Anolis sagrei: one gene and its partners. The protein of the gene in region 1 interacts with the protein of each later gene in a pairwise test. Links are inferred from orthologs where the notes say so. Each region holds a gene or a part of one and is shown in the gene's direction. Other genes may lie near its edges. The genes, in order: CCDC33, USHBP1, ARIH2 and BCCIP.

Region 1 (8,512 bases):
ACAGATAGAGATAGATAGATAGAGATAGATAGATAGATATAGGCAGACAGACAGACAGACTGCTTTCCATGGGCCTCCCCTTTGAATCCTGATGTCCTTCCCCTGCCGCTAACACTCTCCCCCAGCCCTGCTTCCACATCAACCACCTGTTTGCACTTGGCTAACGGGCATTGTTTGCAGGTGAGCACAAGCCCTGCTTGGCCCTGAGTTTGTTACCAAGGCTCATTTGCAAACAAACACAGAAGCCAAGCTGGGTTTCCTTTGGCCTTTCTTCCTCGTCCTCCTTTTTCACGGATATCTTGCACTTTCCTCCAATGTGTGTTGGTGTGGCTTCTGTCGCTCATCTAAGAAGATGTGTGAATGGTAGGAACCAGAGTCATGCCTGTGGAGAAGGATCTCAGGCCTTGGCAGGTCAGTCTTGGGCCAAAGCCAAGGTGTGTTTGAGAGATCCTTCTCTCCTGAGTTGTGTTGGTCTGTTTAGGAGCCCTTCAACCATGGTGCAATTTGCATGATGAACTCCAGGCAGATGAACCCATGGCGAGCTCCTTGGAGATGTGCCTGTGACGTGCTCTTCTCTTCTCCTCCATGACCCAACACGCCATGGCGAACAGGCACCGGGAGCCCCGTCTCCCCATGACCTTGCAGAAATCCCGCCTGAAGGCCGAGGAGAAGGTCTTGGACTTTGACTTTGAGTTGACCAGCGTCCAGTTTAACAAGGTGGGCAGCTACGCCCTGAGGCTCACGGTGGAAAACCCCTTGCTGGAGGGGTCAGGAGCCGGGGTGCAACTCCGGGTCAATGAAGGAGAACCCCTCCAGACCAACACGGCCACCACCGACGTGGTGGAGCAGGGCAGCCTGGATGAAGTCTACACCTTTGAGAAAAGGAGGTTCCTCTTCATCCTGCCCAAAGGTAAGAAGGATGCCGGCAGAGCAGAGCTTGGGAAGAGCCCCCCAGCAAGCCAGGTGGGGTGGGCCATGCCAGGGGGGTTGGTCCAGGGTGAGCTGAGGGGACTCTGGGAGAAGATAAGGAGATGGCCTTCAGGGCCAGAAATCCATCTCATTTCATGAGAAGGTCTTGGGCATTATGCTTAACGAAGCCCAAAATATAAGCCAGGGGATGGGAACCCTCAAGATGCAGTTGGACTTCAACTCCCAGCGTTCCTTATCACTGGTCATACTGGCACAATAGAAGCTCTACTTAACAAGACTTCAAATAGTCTATGATTGAAGGCAGGTATGGGCATATCTGGCCCCTTGGGCTCTTTTCTCAGGCCCTCCTCTCTCTCACCATCCTATCCTACCTTCGTTCTTTCCTTCCTTCCTTCTTTCTCCTTCCTTTCACCCTTTCGCATTTCCTTCTTTCCCTCTCTTCCTCTTTCTCATTCCTTGCTTCCACCCTTTTGTCCTTCCCTCCCTTTCCTCCCTCCTTATTCCTTCATTCCCTCTTTCGCCATTCATCCTTCTCTTCCACCCTTTCATCCTTACTTTCCTTTTGTCTTTCCTTCCTTCCCCATTTGTCCCTCTTTCATCCTTCCTCTCTTTCCTTCCTTCCTTCCTCCCCTTTTGTCTTTCCTTCCTTTCCTCTCTCTTTCTCCCTCTTTCTCCTTCATTCCTTCCTTCCTTTCCCTTTGTCTTTCCTTCCTTCTCTCTTTCCTTTATCCTTCCCTTCCTTCATCATTCCACTCCTTCCTTCGTTCCATCATTCTCTTCCTCCCTTTCATCTTTCCTTCCCTCTCTCTTTCTCCTTCCTCCCTTCCCTTTTGTCTTTCCTTCCTTCTCTCATCCCTTCATTCCCTCTTTCTCCCTCTCTTTCTCCTTCCTTCCTTCCTTCCCCTTTGTCTTTCCTTCCTTCTCTCTTTCCTTTATCCTTCTCTTCCTTCATCATTCCGCTCCTTCCTTCGTTTCATCATTCTCTTCCTCCCTTTAATTGTTCCTTCCCTCTCTCATTCCTTCCTCCTTTCCTCCCTCCCTTCCTGATCTCTTTCGCCCTCCCTCTGTCCTTCCCTTTCATCTTTCCTTCCCTCTCTCTCTTTCTCCTTCCTCCCTTCCCTTTTGTCATTCCTTCCTTCTCTCATCCCTCCCTTCCCTCTCTCATTTTCCCTCTCTTTCTCCTTCCTTCCTTTCCCTTTGTCTTTCCTTCCTTCTCTCTTTCCTTTATCCTTCCTTCAACAGTCTGCTCCTTCCTTCGTTCCATCATTCTCTTCCTCCCTTTCATCGTTCCTTCCCTCTCTCATTCCTTCCTCCTTTCCTCCCTCCCTTCCTTCCCGACTTCTTTCTCCCTCCCTCTGTCCTTCCCTTTCATCTTTCCTTCCCCCCTCTTTCTCCTTCCTCCCTTCCTTCCATTTTTGTCTTCCCTTCCTTCTCTCTTCCCTCCCTTCCCTCTCGCATTCTCCCCCTCTCTCTTTTTCCTTTCTTCCTACCTTCCTTCCTTTCCCCCTGACTTTCCTTCCTTCTCTCTTTCCTTTATCCTTCCCTTCCTTCATCCATCCCTTTCTTCCTTCATTCCATCCTTCTTTTCCCTCTTACTTCCTTCTTTCCTTCTCTTTTTCCTTCCTCCTTGCCTTCCTCCCTTTCATCCTTCCTTCCTTCTCTTCCTTCTCTTCCTCCCTTCTCTTTTTCCTTCCTCCTTCCCTTCTATCCTTCCTCCCTTTTGTCCTTCCTTCCTTCTCCCTTTCCTTCCTCCTTCTCTCCCTCCCTCCCTCCCTTCTCTTTTTCCTTCCTCCTTCCCTTCCATCCTTCCCTTCCTCCCTTTTGTTCTTCCTTCCTTCCTTCTCTTTTTCCTTCATCTTTCCCTTCCTTCCTGTCCTCCTCGCAGGGAGTGTGGTCCCCAAGTTAGAAGGTTGGCCCGGCCCTGATTTAAGAGGATAGAGAACGTTGATGATGGGAATGAATTCCTGGTTTTGAGGCCCAGAAGCTCCGACATGGATTAGGTCATTGTTGTGTTTCCTTTGATCTGGTCCCACCAGGGGATTTTCAAACGGTTCACGGATGGTGGTGTCATCCTTCACCTGCCCCCCTTTCCCTGTTTTCCTGGCCTTTAGTCATGGTCCTTCCAGTAACGGAGACGGGGCCAGGGTGGACTTTCCCAGCAACACGGCACTACGGCGAGTCATCACAGCTGAGAAGAAAATGATGTGATGTTCTTACTTTATGCTGATATAGAATCATAGAATCATAGAATCAAAGAGTTGGAAGAGACCTCATGGGCCATCTAGTCTAACCCCATTCTGCCAAGAAGCAGGAATATTGCATTCAAAGCACCCCCGACAGATGGCCATCCAGCCTCTGCTTAAAAGCTTCCAAAGAAGGAGCCTCCACCACACTCCCTCCGGGACAGAGAGTTCCACTGCTGAACAGCTCTCACAGTCAGGAAGTTCTTCCTAATGTTCAGATGGAATCTCCTCTCTTGTAGTTTGAAACCATTGTTCCCTTGTGTCCTAGTCTCCAAGGAAGGAGTAAACAAGCTTGCTCCTTCCTCCTCCCTGTGGCTTCCTCTCACATATTTATACATGGCCCTCATCATATCTCCTCTCAGCCTTCTCTTCTTCAGGCTAAACATGCCCAGCTCCTTAAGCCGCTCCTCATGGGGCTTGTTCTCCAGACCCCTGATCTGCTCCCTCCTCCCTGTGGCTTCCTCTCACATATTTATACATGGCTATCATATCTTCTCAGCCTTCTCTTCTTCAGGCTAAACATGCCCAGCTCTTTAAGCCACTCCTCATAGGGCTAGTTCTCCAGACCCTTGATCAGGTTCGCAGCTTGGGAGTGATCCTGGATTCATCGCTGAGCCTGAAGCCCCAGGTCTCGGCAGTGACCAGGGGAGCATTTGCACAGCTTAGGCTTGTGCACCAGCTGCGCCCGTATCTTGGGAAGTCTTGGCCACGGTAGTCCACGCTCTGGTTACATCCCGCTTAGACTACTGCAACGCTCTCTACGTGGGGTTGCCTTTGAAGACAGCTCGGAAGCTCCAACTAGTCCAACGCTCGGCAGCCATGATTTTAACAGGAGCGGAGCGCAGGGAGCATACAACCCCCCTGTTGCGCCAACTCCACTGGCTGCCGATCTGCTACCGGGCTCAATTCAAAGTGCTGGCGTTGGCCTTTAAAGCCCTAAACAGTTCCGGCCCAAGCTACCTATCTGACCGCATCTCTGCCTATGAACCCACCAGGAGTTCTTGGAGTTTGAAGCCATTGCTCCATTGCGTCCTAGTCTCCAGGGAAGCAGAAAACAAGCTTGCTCCCTCTTCCTCCCTGTGGCTTCCTCTCACATATTTCTACATGGCTATCATATCCCCTCTCAGCCTTCTCTTCTTCAGGCTAAACATGCCCAGTTCCCTAAGCTGCTCCTCATAGGGCTTGTTCTCCAGACCCTTGATCCTTTTAGTCGCCCTCCTCTGGACACATTCCAGCTTGTCAATATCTCTCTTGAATTGTGGTGCCCAGAATTGGACACAATATTCCAGATGTGGTCTAACCAAAGCAGAATAGAGGGGTAGCATTACTTCCCTAGATCTAGACACTAGGCTCCTCTTGATGCAGGCCAAAATCCCATTGGCTTTTTTTGCCGCCACGTCACATTGTTGGCTCATGTTTAACTTGTTGTCCACGAGGACTCCAAGATCTTTTTCACACGTACTGCTCTCGAGCCAGGCATCCCCCATGACCAAGAGATATGACCTTGGGGGTCCCCCATGACCAACAGAATATTACTGTATTTTCTGATGGTCTTTGGCAACCCCCCTGATACTCCTTCATGACCCCCCCCCCGGGTCCCGACCCCCTATGATGAGAGACATTAACCTAGAGATTCCTCGTGATAACATTTTAATCAAACCTGTGAAGAATCCAATCTATAAAAGTCACAATTGCAAATGTGGAGGGATAACTGTCCTTACCTTTTTGGTTTTCATTTCACAAACAGGTTTCTGCAAGAACGACAAGAACCACGATGCCCGCCTGCGCATCGAAGCCTTGCGCCTCCGTGGGTCTTCTCTGAAGGGGGCCATCAAGGCCGGCGAGGCTTTCTTTGCCATCTACCCGCGCACCAACCAGCCGCGCATGAACCTGTTTGCCGGCCGAGACGAAGACGTGTATGGCTACAGCGACATCCTGGTGCTGCTGCGAGTGGGTCCAGACGATCTGGCCATGCACTGCGGGAGGATGGCCTTCACCGTGTCCTTCCACGAGCACCGACCAGTGGCCCAGAGGAAGAGGCCCATCACGCCCCGCCGCCTCTCGCCGTTGCCTCCCACCAAGGCGGAGGAGCTGCCCGAGGGAGAGGAAACCAGTTCCCTGTCTCCTTCCCAGTCTCTGCAGGTCCCTCGCTTGGTCTATCCAGTCTCCACCTCAGAAACTTCCACTTCGCTTTTATTCAGCATGGAACCCCACACCCCCCAGGTTAGGAGAAGAGTGAATTTTTGTCACAACATTTCGTTTCTTGGGAAGGGAAAAAGGAATTGGCATGACATCGTTGCTGGAGCATTGAACTCCATCAGCATTATTGTCCATGATATATATGGGATTCATCGTGAGATATCTTGGAGATGGGACCCATGTATGATGTATACGGAACACATCCTGAGATATCTTGGAGATGGGACCCAAATACCATATATATGGAATCCATCATGACATATCTTGGAGATGGGACTCAAATACGATATATGGGATACATCATGAGATATCTTGGAGATGGGACTCAAGTACAATACATATGGGGTACATCATGAGATATCTTGGAGATGGGACCCAAGTACAATACATAGGGAATCCATCATGAGATATCTTGGAGACGAGAGTCAAGTACGATATATATGGGATACATCATGAGTTTTCTTGGAGATGGGACCCAAATACGATATATAAGGAATCCATCATGAGATATCTTGGACATGGGACCCAAGTACCATATATATGGAATCCATCATGAGATATCTTGGAGATGGGACTCAAATAAAATATATATGGGATACATCATGAGATATCTTGGAGATGGGACTCAAATACGATATATATGGGATACATCATAAGATATGTACAATACCAAAGTACAATACATATGGGATACATCATGAGATATCTTGGAGAAGGGATCCAAATACATATGGAATACATTATGAGCTTTCTTGGAGATGGGACCCAAATATGATATATATTGGATACATCATGAGATATCTTGGAGATGGGATCCATGTATGATATCACATCCTGAGATATCTTGGAGATGGGACCCAAGTACCATATATATGGAATCCATCATGAGATATCTTGGAGGTGGGATGCAAGTACCATATATATGGAATACATCATGATATTTTTTGGAGATGGGACCCAAGTACAATACATAGGGAACCCATCATGAGATATCTTGGGGATTGGATTCAAATAAGATATATAAGGAATACATCATGAGATATCTTGGAGATGGGACCCAAATACGACATATAAGGAATACATCATGAGATATCTTGGAGATGGGACCCAAATACGATATATAAGGAATACATCATGAGATATCTTGGAGACAGGACTCAAGTACGATATGTATGGAATACATCATAAGATATCTTGGAGATGGGACCCAAGAACCATGTATATGGAATACATCCTGAGATATCTTGGAGATGGGACCCAAGTACCATATATATGGAATCCATCATGAGATATCTTGGAGATGGGATCCATGTATGATATGCACGGGAAACATCATGAGATATCTTGGAGATCGCACCCAACTATGAGATATACAGGAAACATCATGAGATATCTCAGCATGTATAGGGTAATTCTACACAAACATAGGGTGCATTTTAACTGATATGGAATTGAATCCTGGAAGATGTTGTTTGACAAGATCTCCAGCCTTCTCTGCCCAACCACATCAGTGCCTCAGCAAACTACATCATCAAGGATTTCATAGCATTGAGCAATGGTAGTGAAATTGAGGTCACACCAAATTAATTCTATGGAGTATATGCACCCACTCAGCCATGAAAACCCACTGGGTGACCTTGGATGAGCTCTAGAAAACCCTTAGGGCTAACTTAAGTTGGAAATGATTTGATGGCATCCAACAACAACAATAGGAAATATTCATGATGTAAAGGATGACATTATGCACAGGAACTGAAATGTATGTACAGTCAGCCCACTCTAGGGGTCTCTAGGTCCTCCAGAATGACTGTATCTGACCAAGAATGACTCTTGGTCAGATCTGGAGGACCTAGAGATTTCCAGAGAGAGATGTTCTAGGAATCTTTAGGTATTCCGATGTGACCTTATGGCAGTGATCCTCAACTTTCCTAATGCCATGACCCCTTAATACAGCCCCTCATGTTGTGGTGACCCCCAACCATAATGTTGTTTTTGTTGCTACTTGATACCTGTCATTTTCCTACTGTTATAAATCATAATGTAAATATCAGATATGCAAGATGTATTTTCATTCAATGGACCAAACTGGGCACAAATACCCAATGCACCCACATGTAAATGCTAGTGGGGTTGGGGGAGGATTGACTTTGTAATTTGGGAGTTGTAGTTGCTGGGATTTATAGTTCACCTACAATCAAAGAGCATTCTGAACTCCACCAGCGATGGATTTGAACCTAATTTGCCACACAGAACTTCCATGACCAACGGAAAACACTGGAAGGGTTTGGTGGGTATTGACCTTGCATTTGGGAGTTGGAGTTCACCTATATGCAGAGAGCATGGTGGACTCATCCAAACTTGGCACAAATACTCAATATGCACAAATGTGAACCTAATTTGCCACACAGAACTTCCATGACCAACGGAAAACACTGGAAGGGTTTGGTGGGTATTGACCTTGAGTTTGGGAGTTGTAGTTCATCTATATCCAGAGAGCACTGTGGACTCACGCAATAGTGGATCTTGACCAAACTTGGCAAAAATACTCAATATGCACAAATGTGAACACTGGTGGATCTTGGGGAAAATAGACCTTGACTTTTGGGAGTTGTAGTTGCTGGGATTTATAGTTCATTACAATCAAAGAACATTCTGAACTCCACCAACGATAGAATTGGCTCAAACTTCCTATATGGAATCCCCATGATGATCAGAAAATACTGTGTTTTCTGATGGTCTTTGGCAACCCCTCTGACACCCCTTCATGACCCCCTCAGGGGTCGTGACCCCCAGGTTGAGAAACACTGCCTTATGGTCAACATCTGGAAGAACCCTTGACCACTCTTCACCCAGATAATCCTAAATATAAAAAGACTGGTCTTTTATACCATGAAGAAGCCTCGTTCTAGAACTTGTTCTTTGTCTTCTCACCAGTTGCTCACCCAACCTCCTGTTCCTCATCACGAAGCTCCTCCAGAAGAAATGGACGATCCATCACATGACAGGGCATCGGTATCTCTGCCATCGTCCTTGTCGTCCTCACCAGTTTTGCTGCGGCGATTGCCAAGCGATGCCAGTCTCCACCTCCCGTCTCCAGAAGACAGCCCTAAGCTGGACTTTGAGGATGGTTCTTCAAGAGT
Region 2 (8,612 bases), on another chromosome or scaffold:
GGTACTGAGGATGCCTGCCATAGATGCAGGCGAAACATCAGGAGAGAATGCCTCTAGAACATGGCCATATAGCCTGAAAAACCTAAAACAACCCAGTGATTCTAGCCATGAAAGCCTTTGACAATACAATAATAATTATAATTATAATTATGGAAAATCAGGAACTGCAATCAAGTCACTGACCAACACAGTCAGAATCTTCAGCACTGACATCAGTATGGAGTTCGGCCTAGACAAATGTGCCACAGTGGCATTAAAGAAAGGGAAAATTACACACAGCGAGGGCATAGAGATGCCAAATGGACAAACCATAAAATGCAATCAGCCTGAAGCCTACAAATATCTGGGCATACTACGGTTGGATAATATCAAGCATGGGCATGTGAAAAGTGTCGTCAGCAAAGAATATGTCCAAAGGGTCAGAAAGGTTTTGAAGAGCAAATTAAATGGCAGAAATACGATCAAGGCTCTCAACCCCTGGGCCATCCCCGTCATTAGATACACTGCTGGGATTGTGAACTGGACACAAGCAGAGCTGGATGATCTGGACAGAAAAACAAGGAAACTGATGACAGCCCACTACTCATTACACCCGCGTAGAGATGTCATCGACAGACTTGACCTGCCCAGAAAATCAGGAGGCAAAGAGAGGGCTTCTGTAAGTGAAACAAAAGGTAGAAGAAGAGAAACACACACTGGCAGATTATGTGAAAGGCAGTCAAGAACAACAGTGAGGGAAGTCAATAGAATCATAGAATCATAGAATCAAAGAGTTGGAAGAGACCTCATGGGCCATCCAGTCCAACCCCCTGCCAAGAAGCAGGAATATTGCATTCAAATCACCCCTGACCAATGGCCATCCAGCCTCTGCTTAAAAGCTTCCAAAGAAGGAGCCTCCACCACACTCCAGGGCAGAGAGTTCCACTGCTGAACGGCTCTCACAGTCAGGAAGTTCTTCCTCATGTTCAGATGGAATCTCCTCTCTTGTAGTTTGAAGCCATTATTCCACGTCCTAGTCTCCAAGGAAGCAGAAAACAAGCTTGCTCCTTCCTCCCTGTGGCTTCCTCTCACATATTTATACATGGCTATCATATCTCCTCTCAGCCTTCTCTTCTTCAGGCTAAACATGCCCAGTTCCCTAAGCTGCTCCTCATAGGGCTTGTTCTCCAGACCCTTGATCATTTTAGTCGCCCTCCTCTGGACACATTCCAGCTTGTCAATATCTCTCTTGAATTGTGGTGCCCAGAATTGGACACAATATTCCAGATGTGGTCTAACCAAAGCAGAATAGAGGGGTAGCATGACTTCCCTAGATCTAGACACTATGCTCCTATTGATGCAGGCCAAAATCCCATTGGCTTTTTTTGCCGCCACATCACATTGTTGGCTCATGTTTAACTTGTTGTCCACGAGGACTCCAAGATCTTTTTCACACGTACTGCTCTCGAGCCAGGCGTCACCCATTCTGTATCTTTGCATTTCATTTTTTCTGCCAAAGTGGAATATCTTACATTTGTCACTGTTGAACTTCATTTTGTTAGTTTTGGCCCATCTCTCTAATCTGTCAAGATCATTTTGAATTCTGCTCCTGTCCTCTGGACTATTGGCTATGCCTCCCAATTTGGTGTCATCTGCAAACTTGATGATCATGCCTTCTAGCCCTTCATCTAAGTCATTAATAAAGATGTTGAACAGGACCGGGCCCAGGACGGAACCCTGCGGCACTCCACTTGTCACTTCTTTCCAAGATGAAGAGGAAGCATTAGTGAGCACTCTCTGTGTTCGTCCACTTAACCAATTACAGATCCACCTCACCGTAGTTTTGCCTAGCCCACATTGGACTAGTGTGTAGTCAACTGCTTCAAGTGCCAAAGACAAAGAGTGAAAACACAATCCAAAGCAGAAGAGAAAACTGGCAAAAGAAGGCTCTCCATGGACAGGTTCAAGCAAAAATGGAGAGCCAAATTGACAAAGAAAAACATGGCTGTGGCTCACAAATGGAACTCTGAAAAAGGAGACGACGGAGGGCCTGATTCTGGCAGCCCAAGAACAAGCCATTTGAACCAACGCCACCAAAGCCAGAATTGAAAAGCTGACAACAGATCCCAAGTGTAGACTCTGCAAGGAAGCAGATGAAACAACAGATCACAACCTCAGCTGCTGCAAGAAGATTGCGCAGACAGACTACAAGCAGAGGCACAACACCGTTGCTCAGATGATTAATTGGAACTTGTGCCACAAAAACCATCTGCCTGCAACAAACTGGTGGGATCACAAGCCGGAAAAGGTTACAGAGAATGAACACACCAAACTCCTCTGGGACTTCTGGATTCAGACAGACAAAGTTTTGGAGCGTAATACTCTTGACCTCAATCGTGTTAAAAAAAAAGTATGGATTGTCGATGTCGCAATCCCAGGTGACAGCAGGATTGCAGAGAAACAACTGGAAATGCTGGCACAATATGAGGATTTAAAAATCGAACTGCAAAGACTCTGGCACAAGCCAGTCAAGGTGGTCTCAGTGGTGATCGGCACACTGGGTGCAGTGACTAAAGACCTTGGCCTGCATTTAAACAAAATAGGCACTGACAAAATTACCATCTGCCAGCTGCAGAAGGCCACCCTACTGGGATCTGCACGCATTATTCGCAGATACATCACACACTCCTAGACAGTTGGGAAGTGTCTGACGTGTGATCCAATGCAACAGCCAACAGAGTGTCTGCTGTGGACCCATCTTGTTGTGTTTCCAATAATAATAATAACAACAACTGAAACAGCCTTGGTCGTCTTAGTGGATGATCTGTATAGGGAACTGGACAAGGGGAGTGTGTCCCTGTTGGTTCTCCTGGACCTCTCAGCGGCCTTCGATACCGTAGACCACGGTATCCTGGAACGCCTGTTGGGAATGGGGCTTGGATGCATTGTTCTGCAGTGGCTCTGGTCCTTCCTGGAAGGTCATTCTCAGAAGGTGTTACTGACACCTGCTCAGCCCCACAGCCATTGTCTTGTGGGGTCCCACAGGGCTCAGTATTGTCCCCATGTTGTTTAACATCTACATGAAGCCACTGGGAGAGATGCCATCTGTATGCAGATGACGTCCAACTATATCACTCTTTTCCACCTGCTACTAAGGAGGCTGTTCAGGTCCTGAACCAGTGCTTGGCAGCTGTGATGATCTGAATGAGAGCAAACAAACTGAAACTGAATCCAGACAAGACAGAGGTGCTCCTGGTCAGTCACAAGGCCAAACAGGGTATAGGGTTATGGCCTGTGTTGGACAGGGTCACACTTCCCCTGAAAACGCAGATTCGCAGTTTGGGAGTTCTCCTGGATTCCTTGATAGTAATATAATATAATAATAATAATAATAATAATAATAATATAGAATTGGAGGAGGCCCCAGGCAGAAAGACACAAGCCATGCCCTCCTGGAAGCTCTGAAATATAACAACAACAACAATAATAATATAATGATAAAATTAGAATTATAATTATAGACAGGAAGATATCATCCAAGCCCTCCCAACAAATGGTTATCTAGTCTCTGCATAATATAATAATAATAATAATAATAATAATCACCATAATTTTATTATGATTATTATTATTATTAGTTTCCTTTTCTAATGGTGGAGATTGATCTTGCCATAACAAATGCAAGGAAATACAATGTGCTTTCCCCCTATAGGGCAGGTTGATTAACAATAATAACAATAACAATAATAATAACAGTGTTCATGCCCTTTCCCCATATTAGCAGCTATGCATTGCACCATAAACCTATACATAAACCTTTTTCTCACCTTTAAGCGGCTAGATGCAGACTCTTTCCCTTTGCAAACCGAGCCGGAAGTGGGTAGGAGGGAGGGCATTCCTTTGGCCCCGCCCTTCCGGCGCAAGGCCTTCTGGGATTTGTAGTTTCCCTGCCAAAAACCTAAGCCTCTTGCCCAAATCAAGTCAATTTTTTTTAAAAGGGAAATATTACTTTAATAATACTTTATTAATATATTATATTATTAATCAATTTCATTATATTGTTTTAGATACGTTTTGATTATACTATATTAGATATATCTATATCTATACACATAATAAAAGTGAAAATCTGTATATGTGATTTATGGGAGTTATAGTTCACCTGCATCCATACAAACTGTGACCCCCACCGTGAATGGACCGGGACCACATTTGGCACAGAGAAGCCATCTGAACATTTTGGAGACGTTTGGGGGAAATTGACCTTGATTTTGGGAATTGTAGTTCACCTGCATCCAGTCATACTGCGACCCCCACCGATAATGGACCAGGACCACACTTGGCACAGAGAAACCCCATGACCACGTGGACATACTGGAGAAGTTTGGGGGGAAATTGACCTTGATTTATGGGAGTTATAGTTCACCTACATCCATACAAACTGTGACCCCCACTGACAATGGACGGGAGACCAAACTTCACACAGAGAAGCCCCATGACCAACTGAACATACTACAGGGTTTTGTGGAAATTGACCTTGATTTTGAGAATTGTAGTTCGCTCTTATCCAGAAAACACTGAATCCAGCCAATGTCGGATCCAGACCAAACTTTGCAGTGCGTACAGGTGGGGTTTGGCGGCGATTGACCCACGATTCTGGGAGTTTTCGTTTGCCCTTATCCAGAGAGCACTGAACGCAGCCGACGTCAGATCTGGGCCAAACCTGGCACACAAGCCCAACATGGCTAACTTTGAATACTGGTGGGGCTTGGGGTAATTGGCCCACGATTTTGGGAACTGCAGTTCACCCACACCCTTATGCATTTTCTAATGGGAGCATTCATAAAAAAACAACAGGAAAGACTGGCTTTTTTCTAATAAATAATGTTACTAATTAACTAAATGATATGACCTAACATCCCAAAACAACCAATGCCCTTTTCAAATCACCCGGGCACTGCCGGGACCCCAAGCTAGTAATAAATATAATATAGTAATAATAAATACATAAGTAAATACTTCCACCCCAGTTTCTTTAGGGTTAAAGCACTGGTCCGGATATAGCTGGCTTCCTTCCTCTCTGGAAAAACAGGAAGGCCTTTTCTTTATTATTATTTTTATGGGAATGAACAGGAACCAAAGGGCTGGGCTTTGGCTTATTTTGATGCTGATGCTGCCTTTGGAGCCACTTTTTGGACAGAATGGAGCAGGTAAGGGCCACATTCTCTCAGCCTCTGAGCAGTATAGTCCCTATAATATTATTGTATTATTATTATTATATAATAGGGGCTGTGTTGGCGCAGCAGGTTAAACCACTAAGCTGCAGAACTTGCTGACTAGAAGGTTGGCAGTTCAAATCTGCGGGATGCGGTGAGCTCCCGTCGTTAGCCCCAGCTCCTGCCAACCTAGCAGTTCGAAACCATGCAAATGTGAGTAGAACAATAGGTACTGCTCCAGCAGGAAGGTAATGGCACTCCATGCAGTCATGCCAGCCACATGACCGTGGAGGCGTCTGAGGACAATGCCAGCTCTTTGGCTTTGAAATGGAGATGAGCACCACACCCTAGAGTCGGACATGACAAGACTTAATGTCAAGTGAAAACCTTTACTTTTTTATTTTTATATAATAGGACCGTTGCTTGGATGCAGCTCTTGCCCAGGTCAAGCACACACCTTGGATCCATAGTAGCCACACTTGAGGCCTTTGCCTGCCATTGATTCAACTCATTTTGTTTCCCGAAACGCAGGAAGGATCCAGGCCTGGAGGTGACAAAGGATCCCCCGAAAAGGCTTTGCCACCAGATGAGCGAGAAGCCCTTCGCTGCGAGGAGCACATCACGGCACTGCTAGTGACGGTGTCCCGCCTTCACGGACACATCCAATGCCTCCAGCGGGAGAAAGACAGGTAACTGGTCGCTGTCACCTTGTCTGTTCGAAGCAATTGTGGTGTTGCAGTGAGCAGCCTTGCAGTTGCAGAGTCAATCAGTGAGGGTATCTGCATAGAGATAGCCTGGCCTCTGTTGCCTGGAAACACCCTCTGCTGGGGAGCTGTCCAGTGTGTGCTTGATGTCTGGAGTTTCCCTATTTTAAAGCTAGTGTGAATGTTGCAATTAGCAACCTTGAATTAGCGTTGAGGAAACTTGCAGCTGCAAAGTCAATCAGTGAGGGTGTCTGCATAGAGGCAGTGAAGCAAGTGGAGTGTGTGTATATCCCTGTGGAATAATGTCCAGGTTAGGAAAAAGAATCCTTGTCTCTTTGAAGCAAGTGTGGATGTTGCAAGTAGCAAGATTGAACAGCACTGAGTAGCCTTGCAGTTGCAAAGTCAATCAGTGAGGGTGTCTGCACAGAGGCAGTGAAGCAAGTGGAGTGTGTGCATATCCCTATAGAATAATGTCCAGGGTGGGAAAAAGAACCTTTGTCTCTTTGAAGCAAGTGTGGATGTTGCAAGTAGCAAGCTTGAATAGCATTGAGTAGCCTTGAAGTTACAAAGTCAATCAGTGAGGGTATCTGAATAGAGGTAGTGAAGCAAGTGGAATGTGTGTGTGTGTATGTATGTGTATGTATATGTATGTATGTATGTATGTGTATATATATATATATAGCCCCCTGTGGAATGATATCCAGGGAGGGAGAAAGAACCTTCTCTGTTTCAAGCTAGTGTGACTGTTCCAATTAGCATTGATAGTAGCCTTGCAGCTGCAAAGTCAATCAGTGAGGGTCTCTGCCTAGAGGGTGCCTCCAGGCATCAAAGACCAGGCTACCTCACCCTGACCCAGGCTTGAACTACCAATCTTTTGATCAGCAAGATTTTTTGCAGCTGGTGGTTTAACCCGCTGTGCTAAAACCTGGCCCTAACTTGGATGTTATCCTGTTTTTGAAGATTTAGTCGGGTATGTTCTAGATCAGTGTTTCTCAACCTGGGGGTCGGGACCCCTGGAGGGATCGCGAGGGGGTGTCAGAGGGGTCACCAAAGACCATCCTGAAAACACAGTATTTTCTGTTGGACATTGAGGTTCTGTGTGGGAAGTTTGGCCCAATTCAATTGTTGGTAGGGTTCAGAATGCTCTTTGATTGTAGGTTAACTATAAATCCCAGCAACTACAACTCCCAAATGCCATGGTCTGTTTCCCCCAAACTCATCAGTGTTCACATTTGGGCATATTGAGAATTCATGCAAATGGTGCCGAGAGCCCCCGTCCAGTAACTGGTCTATACTGCAGCGGAGAGTTCCGCAGTTCCTGGAAGCCGAAATTGAAAAAAAACTGATGAAATGTGCCCCAACAAACAGCTCAAGGCCAGGACTGCTTTCAGCTTTCATCATTTTCCCTCTAGCCCTGACTTTGTATCTAATCTCTAATAAGGGTACTTGAGTTATAGTTCCCCAAGGACCGAGCGATGGATCTTGTTATTTATCAACTCAGCGCCCATCTGCTAACTTCTACCAGAAGAAAATGACTCTCTGCTGCTTGCTTTGAACTGCAAGCCACCTCCGTTTCCACGAGCCTCCCTCAGAAACCTGGGACTTCAAGTTTTCAAATAAAAAATCAATTATTTTATTAAATAATTAAGATGTGGGGTGGAAATGGGGTTTTTCTTACATGAACTTTGTATAAATAATATTGCATGAAATATCGTCTGCCTTCCCGCCTTTCCCCTTGACTTTTGCCCTAAAAGAAGTGACCAAGGACCGTTGCAATGCCTGAGGGAGGACCCCTGCCTCCCTCGAAACTCATTTTGATTATCTCACATCAGCATGGACAATAGCATATTTGGGATTTCCTTTCTCGCTCTCTGAGTCGGTCTGGCGAGACGAGGAAGTCTATATGGACATTATGATTGATTTACAAAGGGCAGGGTCGACCCCCCTGAGGTCCCCTGCCCCGGTCCTGTTTGTTTCCCCACCAAAACCCATCAAGGACAGGAAAGCCTTTCTTGTGGAAATCACACCTAGCCGGCTCAGGACAAAAGCCTCACATTCCAGCTGGCCGGCTATCAGTAATCCCATCATTTCCCCCATTGTCCGCGGTCGGCCCGCCTCCTCTTTTCTGATTCGTCCATCCTCAGAAGCGAGAGAAGCACGCCGATTGGCCCTCCAGAGGCGGAGAAGCTTGCTGATTGGCCCAGGGCAGGGCGGGCCGCCAAGCCTCCTCCCAGCTGTTCAGGCTGTCAACCAATCAGCGTGAAGCCGGGCGGAGAGGGGCGGGCGGAAAATTCAAAAGGTTTTGCTGTATTTTCTCTATAAAAATGCTTATAAATTCTTTAGCGGTATGCTTGTAGTGGAACTATTCCTACAATGCATCCGATCTCAGCTGAATCGCTAATAAAGACACCTTGGTCGCTGACTTCTTCCGCTTTGGTGAGGATTATTATTTTTAATATTTTCACTGCTGGAATTGGCTTCGCTGCCCTCACCAAGGTTCAAGGACCCTTTTCGGTACGGTCCTCAGGATCTCCTCGGCTGGGGAGGTCCTCCAAAAAAGAGGCTCGATATCACAAAGAGAGTCCACAGTGCTCTCTGGATGTAGGTGAATTAGAACTCCAAAATTCAAGGTCAATGTTGGCCAAACCCTTCCAGTATTTTCTGTTGGTCATGAGAGTTCTGTGTGCTAAGTCTGAATCAATTCCATTGTTGG
Region 3 (7,486 bases), on another chromosome or scaffold:
CATGTCTGTTGGAGCAGGTGTGAATGTTTCAACTAACCACCTTGATTAGCATTTGATGGCCTGGCAGTGCCTGGGACAATCTTTTGTTGAGAGGTGATTAGATGTGCCTGATTGTTTCCCCTCTGTTGTTTTGCTGTTGTAATTTTAGAGCTTTTTAATATTGGTAACCAGATTTTGTTCATTTTCATGGTTTCCTCCTATCTGTTGAAATTGTCCACATGCTTGTGTATTTCAATGGCTTCTCGTGTAGTCTGACATGGTGGTTGTGAGAGTGGTCCAGCATTTCTGTGTTCTCTAATAATATGCTGTGTCCAGGTTGGTTCATCAGGTGCTCTGCTATGGCTGATTTCTCTGGCTGAAGTAGTCTGCAGTGCCTTTCATGTTCCTTGATTCGTGTTTGGGCGCTGCGTTTGGTGGTCCCTATGTAGACTTGTCCACAGTTGCATGGTATACGGTAGACTCCTGAAGAAGTGAGAGGATCCCTCTTGTCCTCTTGTCTATGTAGACTTGTCCACAGATATATAAACCCACTTTCCTAGTTCCAATAGACCTCACTACCTCTGAGGATGCTTGCCATAGATGCAGGCGAAACGTCAGGAGAGAATGCCTCTAGAACAGAGGTCCTCAAATTAAGGCCCGGGGGCCGGATACGGCCCTCCAAGGTCATTTACCCGGCCCTCGCTCAGGGTCAACCTAAGTCTGAAACAACTTGAAAGCACACAACAGCAACAATCCTATCTCATCAGCCAAAAGCAGGCCCACACTTCCCATTAAAATACTAATAAGTTTATATTTGTTAAAATTGTACTTCATTGTAATTATTGTATTGTTTTTAAGTGGTTTTTGCACTACAAATAAAATATGTGCAGTGGGCATAGCAATTCATTCATGCTTTTTACAACTTATAATCCGGCCCTCCAACAGTTTGAGAGACTGTGACCTGGCCCTCTGTTTAAAAAGTTTGTGGATCCCTGCTCTAGAACATGGCCATATAGCCCGAAAAAACCTACAACAACCCAGTGATTCTGGCCATGAAAGCCTTCGACAAGACTTTATATCTGTTTCAGATTTTCAACAATTACCTCCTCACATAATGATTATTAAATTCTGTGTCCACTTTTGATATTGATGCAGTTTAATACCACTGTAAGTGCATTGGTACTTACAAATCAGGAGAACTGTCATTTTACAACGTCTTTTGCCTTTCCCACCAAAGAGTGAAGGTGTCTTATTTATTATTTATTTATCGTGTCCGTTACTGAATTGATAAGTCACTTCTGATGTGGGAGAATCAGTCATCTACAAAGATGTTGCCCAGGAGACGCCCGGATGTGTTACGATCCTGCAGGGAGGCTTCGCTCATGTCCCCCACCATGGTAGGAGAAGTGGTATCAAACTACATTAATTCTACAGCGTGGAGCCAACCTTAGAAGGCATGCTGAACACTTGATATTATCTGTAAGAGGAAGTCAGAGAAAAGAACAATGCAGAAGTGATGACACTATTTGCCTCTATTTGTTAAATAAATAATCTGCTGCCTGAATTCAGATGGAACAATGCCCTGCATTTGCTCAGACTGGAAAGAATGCTGAAAATTACTTACCAACAACTTTCCTCCATCTAGTGGCAAGATTGAGCAGTGTCTGTTTCACTTGTGAACACAGCTGAACACAAGATTGAGGATGACCACATCTTCCCCAATTCCTAAGCCTCATTTTACTTCTGCTAATTATTATTATTATGTGCATACCATGTCACTGATAAGCACAAGAGGGGCAGTCAGAAATGATGCATCAGAATAGGGAGGCATGGACAAACTTGGGCCCTCCGGGTGTTTTGGACTTCAACTCCCACAATTCCTAACAGCCAGTTGGCCACGCGTTGCTGTAAAATGTAATGTTGGTTTGTGGGGTTAACATAACTCAAAAACCACTGTGCGAATTGACATCAAATTTGGACACAATGCACCTATCAGGCCAACAAGTGACCATCACTCATAAAAACACTGAAAAACACAGTGGATGAAACTTAAAAAGCCAAAACAAATAAATACATTACAACGCATGTGCAAAACCACATATATACATATACACATATATATATACACACACAAAACACATATGCAAAGATTGAACCACAGCAATGCGTGGCAGGGAACGGCTAGTACATAATAATAAACATTATATATAGAAATTATATACTGTATGTACTCGAGTATAAGCCTAGTTTTTCAGCCCTTTTTTTAGGCTGAAAAAGTCCCGCTCGGCTTATATTCAAGTCAAGGTTATTTATTATTTTACCTGTTAGAAATACATAATAAATGTACTGTTATTGTTGTTGTTATTACATTGATCATTCTACTTTACTATTGTTTTATTATATTTCTTATTTTACTCTATTATTACCGTAGTTATTATTACATTTCCATTATTTTACTCTATTATTATTGTTAGTATTATTACATTTGTTATTTTACTCTATTTTTATTGGAAGTATATGCAAGCACATCCCTTATGAGTTTTATTGTTGTATTTGTTATGTTGTTGTTTTACTGAGGGCCTTGGCCTTTGTAAGCTGCACTGAGTCCTTCGGGAGATGTTAGCGGGGTACAAATAAAGATAATAATAATAATAATAATAATTTACATTGAAGGTTAGAATAATGGTTTAATCAGAGTTCCATAGTGTTATTTTAAATTATAGTTTTATGTAAATATTCAAAACATTTTACCTACTGATGCCTCAATTAATGCAGTTGTATTGCATCTATTTTTATTTTGAAATTTACCAGTAGCTGCTGCATTTCCTACCCTCGGCTTATACTCGAGTCAATACATTTTCCCAGTTTTTTGGGGTAAAATATGGTGCCTTGGCTTATATTCGGGTCAGCCTTTTTTTTCATCGTCAGGAGCGACCTGAGAAACTGCAAGTCGCTTCTGGTGTGAGAGAATTGACTGTCTGCAAGGATGTTGCCCAGGGGATGCCCAGGTGATTTGATGTTTTATCATCCTTGTGGGAGGCTTCTCTCATATCCCCGCATGAGGAGCTGGAGCTGATAGAGGGAGCTCCTCCGCGCTGTCCTGGGATTTGAACCTGCGACCTGTCGGTCTTCAGTCCTGCTGGCACAGGTGTTTAACCCACTATGCCACCGGGGGCTCCTAGAGTGGAGATGAGATCTGGGAATATTTGGTATTTAGAAGCATATATAGCTAGAAGGACACTTTCCATGTATAAAAGATGCATTCTCAATGCAGGAAATCTTAATAAAACTATCTTCCAAAGAATCTCATCAGCCTTCTTGATGGATGGTGGGGATTGTTTTTAAAACAGATCTCTGTGAAACAAAGAGCAGTACGTGTGAAAAAGATCTTGGAGTCCTCGTGGACAACAAGTTAAACATGAGCCAACAATGTGATGTGGCGGCAAAAAAAGCCAATGGGATTTTGGCCTGCATCAATAGGAGCATAGTGTCTAGATCTAAGGAAGTAATGCTACCCCTCTATTCTGCTTTGGTTAGACCACATCTGGAATATTGTGTCCAATTCTGGGCACCACAATTCAAGAGAGATATTGACAAGCTGGAATGTGTCCAGAGGAGAGTGACTAAAATGATAAAAGGTCTGGAGAACAAGCCCTATGAGGAGCGGCTAAAGGAGCTGGGCATGTTTAGCCTGAAGAAGAGAAGGCTGAGAGGGGATATGATAGCCATGTATAAATATGTGAGAGGAAGCCACAGGGAGGAGGGAGCAAGCTTGTTTTCTGCTTCCCTGGAGACTAGAATGCGGAACAATGGCTTCAAACTACAAGAGAGGAGATTCCATCTGAACATGAGGAAGAACTTCCTGACTGTGAGAGCCGTTCAGCAGTGGAACTCTCTGCCCCGGAGTGTGGTGGAGGCTCCTTCTTTGGAAGCTTTTAAACAGGGGCTGGATGGCCATCTGTCAGGGGTGATTTGAATGCAATATTCCTGCTTCTTTCAGGGGGTTGGACTGGATGGCCCATGAGGTCTCTTCCAACTCTTTGATTCTATGATTCTAAGAGGATAATCTGGAAGGCAAGAAGAAAGATCTCGTCCTCCCCCTCTTCACTCTCCATATGGCCCATAGAACGCTTCATCTCTGCTCCCCCCCCCCTCCCCGAGCGCTCTGAAGAATGGTTCGTTCCAGCCTTCCTCGCCTTGCCAGCTCCTCCTACGTCAGCGGCCTTCCCGGCGGCGGAAGTGACGCCGCGCTGGAGGCCACGGCTTCCGGTGCGCAGGCCACAGCGGCCCGGCTACAGATGGAGGCGCCCGTCTCCTCGGCAGGAAGGTGATTCGGTCTTCCTCCCTTTTCTTTCTTCTCCTTCTTCCCTCCTTTCGGTCTTCCCTTTCGCTCGCTGCTGAAGAGGCCGCGTTCATCCCAACCGCTCTGAGGGTGAGAGTCTCTGAGGGGAAGAAGCCGGGCCTTGTTTACATAGAGGGCGGGCGGAGGGAGAGGCAAGGCCCCCTCGTAGTTGCCTTGTTGTGGGCCTCAAGGGCAGGCATGGGCCAACTTGGGCCCTCCAGCTGTTTTGGACTTCAACTCCCACCATTCCTAACAGCCTCAGGCCCTTTCCTTTCCCCCCTCAGCCGCTTAAGCCCATGCCTGCTCAAAGGTCTGGTGCTTCGCTTCTCCCATCCTTTCATTCGAATTAAGGCAGCTTGGCACCCCTTTCCTTGTCTAGGCCCAATACTATGGGGTCCTGGGAGCTGTAGTTTGTATTCCCCATCCCGAGGATGGTGCCAAGAGTCCAAACTACAACAGTCACCGTTCCTTAGCAATCAAATAGGTGCCAAACTACCCTTATTGTACAGTACAGATGTAGAAGAACTTTATTTTTCTACCCTGCCTCCATCTCCCCGAAGGAACTCGGGGTGGCTTACATTGGGCCCAAGCCCAGGCAGAATATAATTAAAATAAAGCAATAACAATTAAAACAGCATAAAACAGCATTTATTTATTTATTATTGATTAACTTTATTTGTACCCCGCTACCATCTCCCCAAGGGACTCGGTGCGGCATACATGAGGCCGAGCCCAACACAACAACAGAAGCAATAAAACATCGATACAAGCAATTAAAAAACATAGATAATAAATACACAACATTATTAAAGAAGCCCCGGTGGCGCAGTGGGTTAAACCCTTGTACCAGCAGGACTGAAGACTGACAGGTCGCAGGTTCGAATCCGGGGAGAGGCAGATGAGCTTCCTCTATCAGCTCCAGCTCCTCATGCGGGGACATGAGAGAAGCTTCCCACAAAGATGATAAAAACATCAAATCATCCAGGCGTCCCCTGGGCAACGTCCTTGCAGACGGCCAATTCTCTCACAACAGGAGTCACTCCTGACACGACAAAAATTAAAGAAGCAACACATAATTAAAACAGTGGGAAGGCCAAATGTAGAGTTAAAATTGGAAATAATGCTGGGCCATAAGCAAAAGGTGATACTAGTGTTTGTGAAGGGCATACGAGCATAAAACAATATAACAAAAATAGCTAGCAACAATAATAACAGCAGACTAATTTTGGAGGGGGGAGGCAAACCACTACGTGAACTAGTTAAAGGATAAAGTGATTTAGTAACGTAGATTTATTTATTTATCGTGTCATCGGCAACCATACCATTGTATCACATTTCTAACAGAACAAAATAAACAATCAGATTTTTAAAAAACCCACAGATTTTGCAAACTTGGTAGTTGATTAAATGTCCTTTGACCAGTATCTGGCCACTTGGAGTGCCTCTGGTGTTGCCGCAAGAAGGTCCTCCATTGTGCATGTGTCAGGGCTCAGGATGCATTGCAGCAGGTGGTCAGTGGTTTGCTCTTTTCCACACTCGTATGTCGAGGATTCCATTTTGTAGCCCCATTTCTGAAGGTTGGCTCTGCATCTCGTGGTGCCAGAGCACAGTCTGTTCAGCGCCTTCCAAGTACTTGGAAGTAAGGTAGATGACAATGTATTAAGGCATAGGAAAAACCATGGAAACAGAGCAAATTAACAGGATCAGTTAATATAATATAGGACATCAGATTGAATGACAATTCAGGTCATAATACAGGCCATATGTCATAGGAGTCGTCAGTAGAAAGTACATTAATGTACCCATTAATCATAGTAATAAAAAAAGGCCTATCTTTTAATGTCAATTTTAAACCATGGATTTTAAGCTGGCATTTTTACAAGAATGGATGAGAGGGAATAATAATAATAATAATTATTATTATTTATACCCTGCCACCATCTTCCTAAAGGGGACTCGCGGCAGTTTACATGAGGCCAAGCCCAGCGATACATTACAGCAACATTAAATATAAACAACAAAATAACATCACAATAAAATAAATAAACCAATCAAGTAAAATAAACAGTACAAAATAACATAATGGAAAATCAGACACAGTGGGCGGGCCAAATGCATGACATAAAATGATAAAACACTGGATGAGATAGCAATGAAAAGGTACAATTGTGGGGGAGGAGCTCAAAGGGGACTGAACAGTGGATTTAGACTTTCAATAAGGTGGGGGAAAGTGCAGTATGGGGGAAGCAGTGTAGGTGAAACAACAGGACTGGAATATATGGTCACTCTCCAAAGGCACATCAGAAAAGCCAAGTCTTTAGATCTTTCTAAAGGGAAAGGACTGGGAGACATGAGGGAAGCCACCTGGGCCTTGTTTTACGTAGTAATAAAAACAATGACCTACTTTTAATGTCAATTTTAAACTATGGATTTTATGCTGGCATTATTATTTTTTTTGAAGAAAAGGTGAGAAGGAGAGGACTGGGAGGTGAGGGAAGCAACTTGGTTGCCATTTAAATTAAAATGGAAGATGAGTATATAATGTCCTGTACAGACATGGTCAAACTTCAGCCCTCCTTTGGACTTCCTACAATTCCTAACAGCCCTAGATTGTTTGTTGTTGATGTTATAATTATTAATTCTTTAAAATACAGGTATGATGGAGAACCCATCTAAAAATGCATGCATGCCTGTTTGGAGTTTATGGGGTCCTGACCATGGCTAGTCACCCTGTAAGCTCCAAACAAGCATAATAGGCTTGCCTACATGGTAGAACAGGCCTGGGCAAACATTAGCCCTCCAGGTGTTTTGGACTTCAACTCCCACAGTTCCTAATAGCCTGTCCAAAACACGCAGAGGGCAGAAGTTTGCCTAGGCCTGTTGTAGCATGGGTACATCTTCCATTACTTCTGCAGTGTATAGAATGCTGTGTAATCCTGGGACATGTCTACAAAGGCTTCCGCTGATAATTGTGTTCTCTCAGAAAGCAACTGCAGTGTAGAATGAATGCAGTCTGGCCCCACTTTAACTTTTATTCTCAATGCTGTGGGATCATTGGAGTTGTAGTTTGGTGAGGCGCCCACGCTTTTTTGTCAGAAGGCTCAAGATCTTATGAAACTATAGCTCCTACGATTTCAAAGCATTGAGCCACAGCAGTTAAAGTGG
Region 4 (7,573 bases), on another chromosome or scaffold:
GTTGCTTCAAGCCCATGTGAACCCAACTCCTACAAATGAGAGTAAATAACAATGGTTTTGTGATAAATGATTAGCATTGACATTAACACTCTTGAGTCATTCTGGAACTACTTAAAACTAGAAAGTTATCTTTGACTGCAATCCTATACCTGCTTACTTGGATGTCCATGGAAACCACTGGACTTATTTCTGAATACAAATGTATAGACTGATGCAATTACATGGTAACAACAACATGTTTTGAAACAAAACACAATAGTTTATATAGAAACAGTGTATAATATATTTAATGGGACATGAGAGAAGCCTCCCACAAGGATGATAAAAACATCAAATCATCCAGGCGTCCCCTGGGCAACGTCCTTGCAGACAGCCAATTCTCTCACACCAGGAGTCACTCCTGACACGACTATATATATATATATATATATATATATATATATATATATAGGAACGAGGACCAAAGTAATGCAACTATGCACAACACAATTGCAACAATACAAAAAAACCAGGCCCTTAAGGAGAGGAGGATGATCCAAAGGCACTGCTTCCAAGCTGCAAGCTTTCTTCTCCTTGGATTTCTTTGAGAGCATCCCAATCCCTGCATATTTCCAATTTCCTATTCCTGCAACTCCCAGCAATCCTACAGATAGATAGATAGATAGATAGATAGATAGACAGACAGACAGACAGACAGACAGACAGACAGACAGATAGATAAATAGATCAGGAGGACTGCTGGGAGTTGCAGTCCAAGAATAGGTAGAGAAGGAAGAATGGAGAGAAAGAGGAAGGGAAAGAAATGGGAGGGGAAGAAGGAAGGGAAGAAGAAGAGAAGGAAAGAAAGAAGGATGGAGAAAAAGAAAGAAAGAAAAAAGGGAAGGAAGGAAGGAAGGAAGGAAGGAAGGAAGGAAGGAAGGAAGGAAGGAAGGAAAGAAAGAAAGAAAGAAGAGAAAGAAGGAGGGAAGATTGGCCACAGCAACGCATGGCAGGTACAGCTAGTTAGTCAAATAACATTTTCTAAGGTTTTCCAATCTTATACTAAGGATACTTACTTCTATATATGGATCTGGCCCATTTTCACTTTCTTTGGGATCCTTCAGCAACAGGACTTTCATTGTTTACTGAAGAATGGCTAGAAAAAGCAGGAATACAAATGAAAATATATCTAAATTAGATCTAGAGGACTCGTCTCTATAGGAAGTCTGTACAGTTGAGGACCTCAAGAAATAGGAAGATTAACAGCTTCACCAAAGTCTTCTTTGTCGCACAGTGAGTAAGCAGTTACTATGCATTCTCTGGGAAGGAACATCTACTCTGATAAGGCGAACAAAATGCATGTTGGTTTTAAATGATATGTTCCTCTGTCCCAAGGGGAGAAAAGATAAGAAAGAAATGCATTTGTTTTGCTTCTTAAAGTAACACAGTTCTAAATCCTATTGCTTATCCCTATTACAGAAAAACCATTGGATTCGATGCTGAATTGCAAATCGACATATCGGTAAATCTCATTGATTCAATGGATCTTCTCTAGCTGAGATTCAGGTAATTATATTTTAGCAACCAATATATAGTAGAAATGACAACCTCTTCATACTGTAGAAATTCAACACACTCACAGAACTTCACACACTCGTATACACAATTCATTTAATGGTTCCAATAATATTTTCTAGTACAAATACTGTTTAAAATGTTTGCATGTGAGTCACCAAGTGAAAGATTTACAAGCTACGGTGTATTTTACTGCCTCAAACAAAACCCACCAGGAAGCTCCACTACAACTCATTCGCTATAAAGTGTGGTTAAATGCCATCCAGTTGATTTTGGTATATGGTGATCCCAGAAATGAGAGATTTCCAAGGCTCCTTCCACACTGCCACATAGCCTAGATTATCAAATTAGATAATCCAGGTTATCTACTATGAACTGAATTATATGAGGTTCCTTCTACACAGATCTATAAAATCCAGAATATCTGGATTATCTGCATTATATGGCAGTGTAGACTCAGATAATCCTTGTGGTTAAATGCCATCCAGTTGATTTTGATATATGGTGATCCTAGAAATGAAGGATTTCCAAGGCCCCTTCTACACTGCCATCTAATCCAGATTATCAAATCATATAATCCATATTATCTGCTATGTACTGAATTGTATGAGGCCCCTTCTACACAGATCTATAAAATCCAGATTATCTCGATTATCTGCATTATATGGACTCAGATAACCCAAACCAGATAATGTTGATTATCTGCCTTGATATTCTGAATTATATGGCAGTGTAGAAGGGGCCTGAGTCTACACTGCCATATAATCCAGTTCAAAGCAGATAGTCTGGATTTTATATGACAGTGTAGAAGGTGCTTGAGTATATCGATCTGTATTGCAGTCTCCTTTTATTATTCCAAGTTTTATTGTCTTTTCTTGTGAGTTAGGTTTTTTTTTATGATATGGCCAAAGTACAACAGTCTCAGGCTGGATCTACACTGCCATATAATCCAGTATCTGATCCCACCTTATCTGCTTTGAACTGGATTATATGAGTCTATACTGCCAATCTGGGATCAGAAAGTTGATTACAGGCAGTCCCCAAATTAGGAATAAGATAGGCTCTGTAGGCTTGTTATTAAATTGAATGCGTATGTAAGTTGGAGCACTTCACTTAGGCGATCCCTCGTAGTCCGAGGATGATGGTCCTCCAACATCGGTGTTCTGGCGGTGGGTCCGTAGGTGACTGTGGAGCCCTATTCTTGACCTGCATCTTCTCCCACAGTGAGAGCATCAGTTTCCAGGTGGAAGGCGGTCCCAGTCAGGGTTTGCTTGACGCATCTTCCTCTTGGCACGTTTTTCTCTTTCACCCTCCATTTGTGCCTCTTCAAATTCTACAGCACTGCTGGTCACAGCTGACCTCCAGCTGGAGTGCTAAGGGCCAGGGCTTCCCAGTTCTCAGTGTCTATGCCAGAGTTTTTAAGGTTAGCTTTGAGCCCATCTTTAAATCTCTTTTCCTGCCCATCAACATTCCGTTTTCCGTTCTTGAGTTCAGAGTAGAGCAACTGCTTTGGGAGACGGTGGTCCTGACAATGTGGCCGGTCCAGCGGAGTTGATGGCGGAGGACCATCGCTTCAATGCTGGTGGTCTTTGCTTCTTCCAGCACACTGACAATTGTCCACTTATCTTCCCAAGAGATTTGCAGGATTTTTCAGAGGCAGCGCTGATGGAATCATTACAGGAGTTGCTTGTGATGTCTGTAGACTGTCCACGTCTCGCAGGCATATAGCAGGGTTGGGAGGACAATAGCTTTATAAACAAGCACCTTGGTATCCCTACGGATGTCCCAGTCCTCAAACACTCTGTGCTTCATTTGGAAAAAAAGCTGCACTTGCAGAGCTCAGGCAGTGTTGTATTTAAGTGTCAATGCTGACTTTGGAGGAAAGGTGGCTGCCAAGATAGTGGAAATAGTCAACATTTTCTAATGTTACACCATTAAGCTGTATTTCTGGCATTGGAGAGGAATTGGCCGGTGACTGCTGGAAGAGCACTTTGGTTTTCTCAATGTTTAATGACAGGCCAAGCTTTTCGTATGCTTCTGCGAAGATGTTTAGAGTGGCTTGTAGGTAAGTTGGAGCAGGTACATAGTAATGGGCGCTCCATGCAGTCATGTCAGCCACATGACCTTGGAGGTGTCTACGGGCAATGCCAGCTCTTTGGCTTAGAAATGGAGATGAGCACCAACCCCCAAAATTGGACACGACTGGATTAATGTCAGGGAAAACGTTTACCTTTACCTATTCTGGGATACAGGTCTGGGTGGAAGGGCCCATAATAAAACCGCAATAAGGCATCAATATTCAGCTTGGTTTTGGCCATTTGCTGGACACAATGCAAATAACTTTATTTTTTATTTTTTTTGTGGATAAGGAGATGTTGTTATATCAGTGAATTGAAAAAGTAAATACTTGGCTTATTTTGCATAGATGTCCAGGTAAATCAAGTGTTTTTAGAAGGTATAAAGGGGTGCATCCTCTCTACACTTTAGAATGAATGCAGTTTGACACCACTTTTAACTGCCATGGAGCAACACGATGGAGTCGTGGGAGTTGCATTGCCTCAACCATACTACAAATCCCATGATTCCCAATAGCATTGGTCACTATGAGTGAAAGCAGTGTCGAATCTGCAGGTCATGACTGTCAGGCTGCCCCCTTCTTGACTGTTTTGAAAGCGCCCGGTCAGGCGAATCCAACCGGAGGGGTTTAACGGGGGGAGCGGGAAGTCAATCAGCCCGTCGTCGCCATGGCAACGCATACGAGCAGCCCCCTCCCCTTCCTACTTCCAGTGGGCGACTCCAACACTCAGGCGTTCCACTCACCTAGGAGGGAGGGAGGGGGAGGTTGAAGGAATCGGCTTCCTCGTCGTCTTAGAATCCCCGCCTCCCTGGGTCAGGAGGACTCCATGACGCATGCGCAAACTGGCCAGCGGGTGAGCAGCGGCATGGCTTCTCAGGCGAAGCGGAGAAAAGCGGCTGGGCCGCCCGATGCCCTGCGGGAGGAAGAAGAGTCAGACTCGGAGTTGGATAGCGAGGAGGAGGACGATGAGGAAGAAGAAGAAGAAGAGGAGGAGATCAACGAGGTAATCGCCAAGCCGTGATGATCTCTATCCCTCTTCTTTCTTTTCCTCCCAGTCGGCCATGACTTTTCTCACCCAAGCAGCTGGACTACAACTCCCAGCATTCCCTGCTCGGCGAGGCAGTGTTATCCGAGAGCGATGCGTCCTGGGAGTTGTAGTCCAGTGCCTTCAGGGAGTGGGATTTAAAGACACAGGGTACATTAATACTATGTAACATTGGGTTATCAATGTTATTTCTCTAATTGAGTCTATGATAAAAACATGTAGTATGTTTATTATTATTATTATTACTAATAATATTGCAGTATACAGTAGTGATGTAGTACTATATAATAATATATAATACTAATACTGCTATGCTAATAATATTATTTATTTATTTATTTATTTGCCTTACTTATATACCACTGTTCTCAGCCCGAAGGCGACTCACAGCAGTTTACAACAAATATGAACAGCAAAAATTCAGTGCTACAGTATAAAAACAGTTAACAACCTAACACATTACACAATTAATAAACACTTACTACAATACCCATTCACTGTCATCTCGTCATCAAAAACATGTTTCAGATTCATCATCCATTGTTCCATTCCAGTGTTCATTAACCAATCATTGCGCTAATTATTCGAACGCCTGCTCAAACAGCCAGGTCTTCACTTTTTTGCAGAATACCATTAGAGATGGTGCTAGTCTAATGTCCGTAGGAAGGGCATTCCACAGCTGAGGAGCCACCACCGAGAAGGCCCTATCTCTTATATAATACAATATAATACTAGTAATAATCTATATAAATAAAAATGTAATGTTCGTTTGTGGGATTAACAGAACTCAAAAACCACTGGACCAAACTTGGACACAAGACAGCTAACAACCCAATGTATGTTTTTCACTCAAAATATTGATTTTGTCATTTGGGAGATGTAGTTGCTGGGATGTATAGTTCACCTACAATCAAAGAGCATTCTGAACCCACCTTTCTCCCATAAGTGGTTTGCAATTTGCAATGAACACACAGTAAGTTATAGGTCATCAAAGTAAAACATTGAAAAGAAACCCAAACTACAAGCCATGTAAGAAAAAAGATAAATACAAAACCTCCCTCCTCATTCAATAGCTCTTCAACTGTCAAATGTTTGACAGATCAAAATGATCTATATTTGTTGAGACATATAAGAGACTCAACTTACTTTTGCACCAGAAATCCAACCCTAATTAGCCCTTTGCCATGTGACTTCTTCATTTTTAACTATCATTCTTGGGGCATGGGATGCCATCTTGATAAAGAATTCAGAAATCAATATAGGTCAGAGATCTACCAGTAGATCTCTGTCTATCTTCTGCCCAACACACTTGTATTTTATATACATAGTAGGCCTGTTTGATCAAGAAAAAATTTGTTTCTAAATCGATTTGTAATTGGGGTGTTTTTTTGTTTCGATATTTAAAATATTTACAAAACTTTCCAAAAAAATGTTTTGTTATTTACGAAATTTCGTAAATATTTACAAAACATTTTTTAAACTCCATTTGCCTAGTTTCCAACAGACCTCTGAGGATGCCTGCCATAGATGTGGGCAAAATGTCAGGAGAGAATGCTTCTGGAACATGGTCATACATACAGCCCTGAAAACTCACACAACCGGCCTCCGTGCGCCATCCAATCGGCTCCGGCTCCTGCGCCCTCCTCCTCCTCGCGCGCGCGCTCACCCTTACAACCGGCCTCCGCGCGCCATCTAACCGGCTCTGGCTCCTGCGCCCTCCTCCTCCTCCTCCTCGCGCGCGCGCTCACCCTTACAACCGGCCTCCGCGCGCCATCCAATCGGCTCCGGCTCCTGCGCCCTCCTCCTCCTCCTCCCAGCTGTGTTGCAGGAAGTGCCAGGAGGAGGAGGGCGCAGGAGCCGGAGCCGATTGGATGGCGCACGGAGGCCGGTTGTAAGGGTGAGCGCGCGCACGAGGAGGAGGAGGAGGGCGCAGGAGCCGGAGCCGATTGGATGGCGCGCGGAGGCCGGTTGTAAGGGTGAGCGCGCGCGCGAGGAGGAGGAGGAGGAGGAGGGCGCAGGAGCCGGAGCCGATTGGATGGCGCGCGGAGGCTGGTTGTAAGGGTGAGCGCGCGCGCGCCATCCAATCGGCTCCGGCTCCTGCCACGGTGCACTGCTGGGGTGCTTGGGAGCGCCGGATTGGCTCCCAGGCACCAGCAGCACTCAGCAGCCTCCATCCCATTAACGACACGAGCTGAAGCTCGTAAAATATATGGGGCTGCTGTTTCGATATTTTTAAACCCTTCCGGGTTTGAAAATGTGTTTTGAAATCGCGTCGGATGTGGTAAAAATAACGAATTAATAACGAAATAACGAATTAACGAACGAAACCACACAGGCCTAATACATAGATCTCAAAACAGATTGTTGAACATTTTAAGGCATATATATATATATGCGTGGTGGGGATGGGGAGATACGGGAAAAGGAGACCTCGAATTCGGCCTAGGGATCGTACAACAACATTAGTAACTCCAACTCGGTCTCCTGATATGGTGAATTGGTGTAACCAGGTCGGCGGTCCCCCCGGATTGAAGGTGGTGCTGTTGAACGCCAGATCTGTCAATGGCAAAACAGCTTTCATCCAGGATTTAATCCTGGATGAACGGGCAGATCTGGCGTGCATCACGGAGACCTGGCTGGACGAAGCTGGAGGTGTAAATTTGACCCAGCTTTGCCCGCCAGGTTTCTCCGTGCAGCACCAACCAAGATCCGGGGAGCGGGGAGGCGGGGTTGCAGTGATCTATAGAGACTCCATTCTTCTGACCAGGGCCCCCATCCCGCAGTCAACAAATTTTGAATGCGTCAACCTGAGGGTGGGTGACCGGGACAGATTAGGGATTCTGTTAGTGTACCGTCCACCTCGCTGCACTACAGACTCCCTGACTGAGCTAGCGGGG

The links.
Region 2: the proteins of CCDC33 (region 1) and USHBP1 interact in a two-hybrid assay, tested with the Homo sapiens proteins (2 studies listed by BioGRID and IntAct). The two-hybrid records come from large-scale screens. The link is inferred for Anolis sagrei from reciprocal best matches to the Homo sapiens genes CCDC33 and USHBP1.
Region 3: the proteins of CCDC33 (region 1) and ARIH2 interact in a two-hybrid assay, tested with the Homo sapiens proteins (2 studies listed by BioGRID and IntAct). The two-hybrid records come from large-scale screens. The link is inferred for Anolis sagrei from reciprocal best matches to the Homo sapiens genes CCDC33 and ARIH2.
Region 4: the proteins of CCDC33 (region 1) and BCCIP interact in a two-hybrid assay, tested with the Homo sapiens proteins (3 studies listed by BioGRID and IntAct). The two-hybrid records come from large-scale screens. The link is inferred for Anolis sagrei from reciprocal best matches to the Homo sapiens genes CCDC33 and BCCIP.

Annotation. Positions count from the first base shown.
Region 1 is NC_090029.1:300,025-308,536, reverse strand, and holds the start of CCDC33 (coiled-coil domain-containing protein 33), read left to right. Parts: upstream 1-5,057; coding exon 5,058-5,396; intron 5,397-8,306; coding exon 8,307-8,510; intron 8,511-8,512.
Region 2 is NC_090034.1:29,449,205-29,457,816, reverse strand, and holds the start of USHBP1 (harmonin-binding protein USHBP1), read left to right. Parts: upstream 1-5,110; 5' UTR 5,111-5,180; coding exon 5,181-5,189; intron 5,190-5,726; coding exon 5,727-5,884; intron 5,885-8,612.
Region 3 is NC_090022.1:28,591,119-28,598,604, reverse strand, and holds the start of ARIH2 (E3 ubiquitin-protein ligase ARIH2), read left to right. Parts: upstream 1-4,218; 5' UTR 4,219-4,411; intron 4,412-7,486.
Region 4 is NC_090023.1:196,683,276-196,690,848, reverse strand, and holds the start of BCCIP (BRCA2 and CDKN1A-interacting protein), read left to right. Parts: upstream 1-4,441; 5' UTR 4,442-4,457; coding exon 4,458-4,634; intron 4,635-7,573. Other genes in the region: UROS (uroporphyrinogen-III synthase), read right to left, coding at 1-29, 1,056-1,118. UniProt on the Homo sapiens protein: During interphase, required for microtubule organizing and anchoring activities. During mitosis, required for the organization and stabilization of the spindle pole.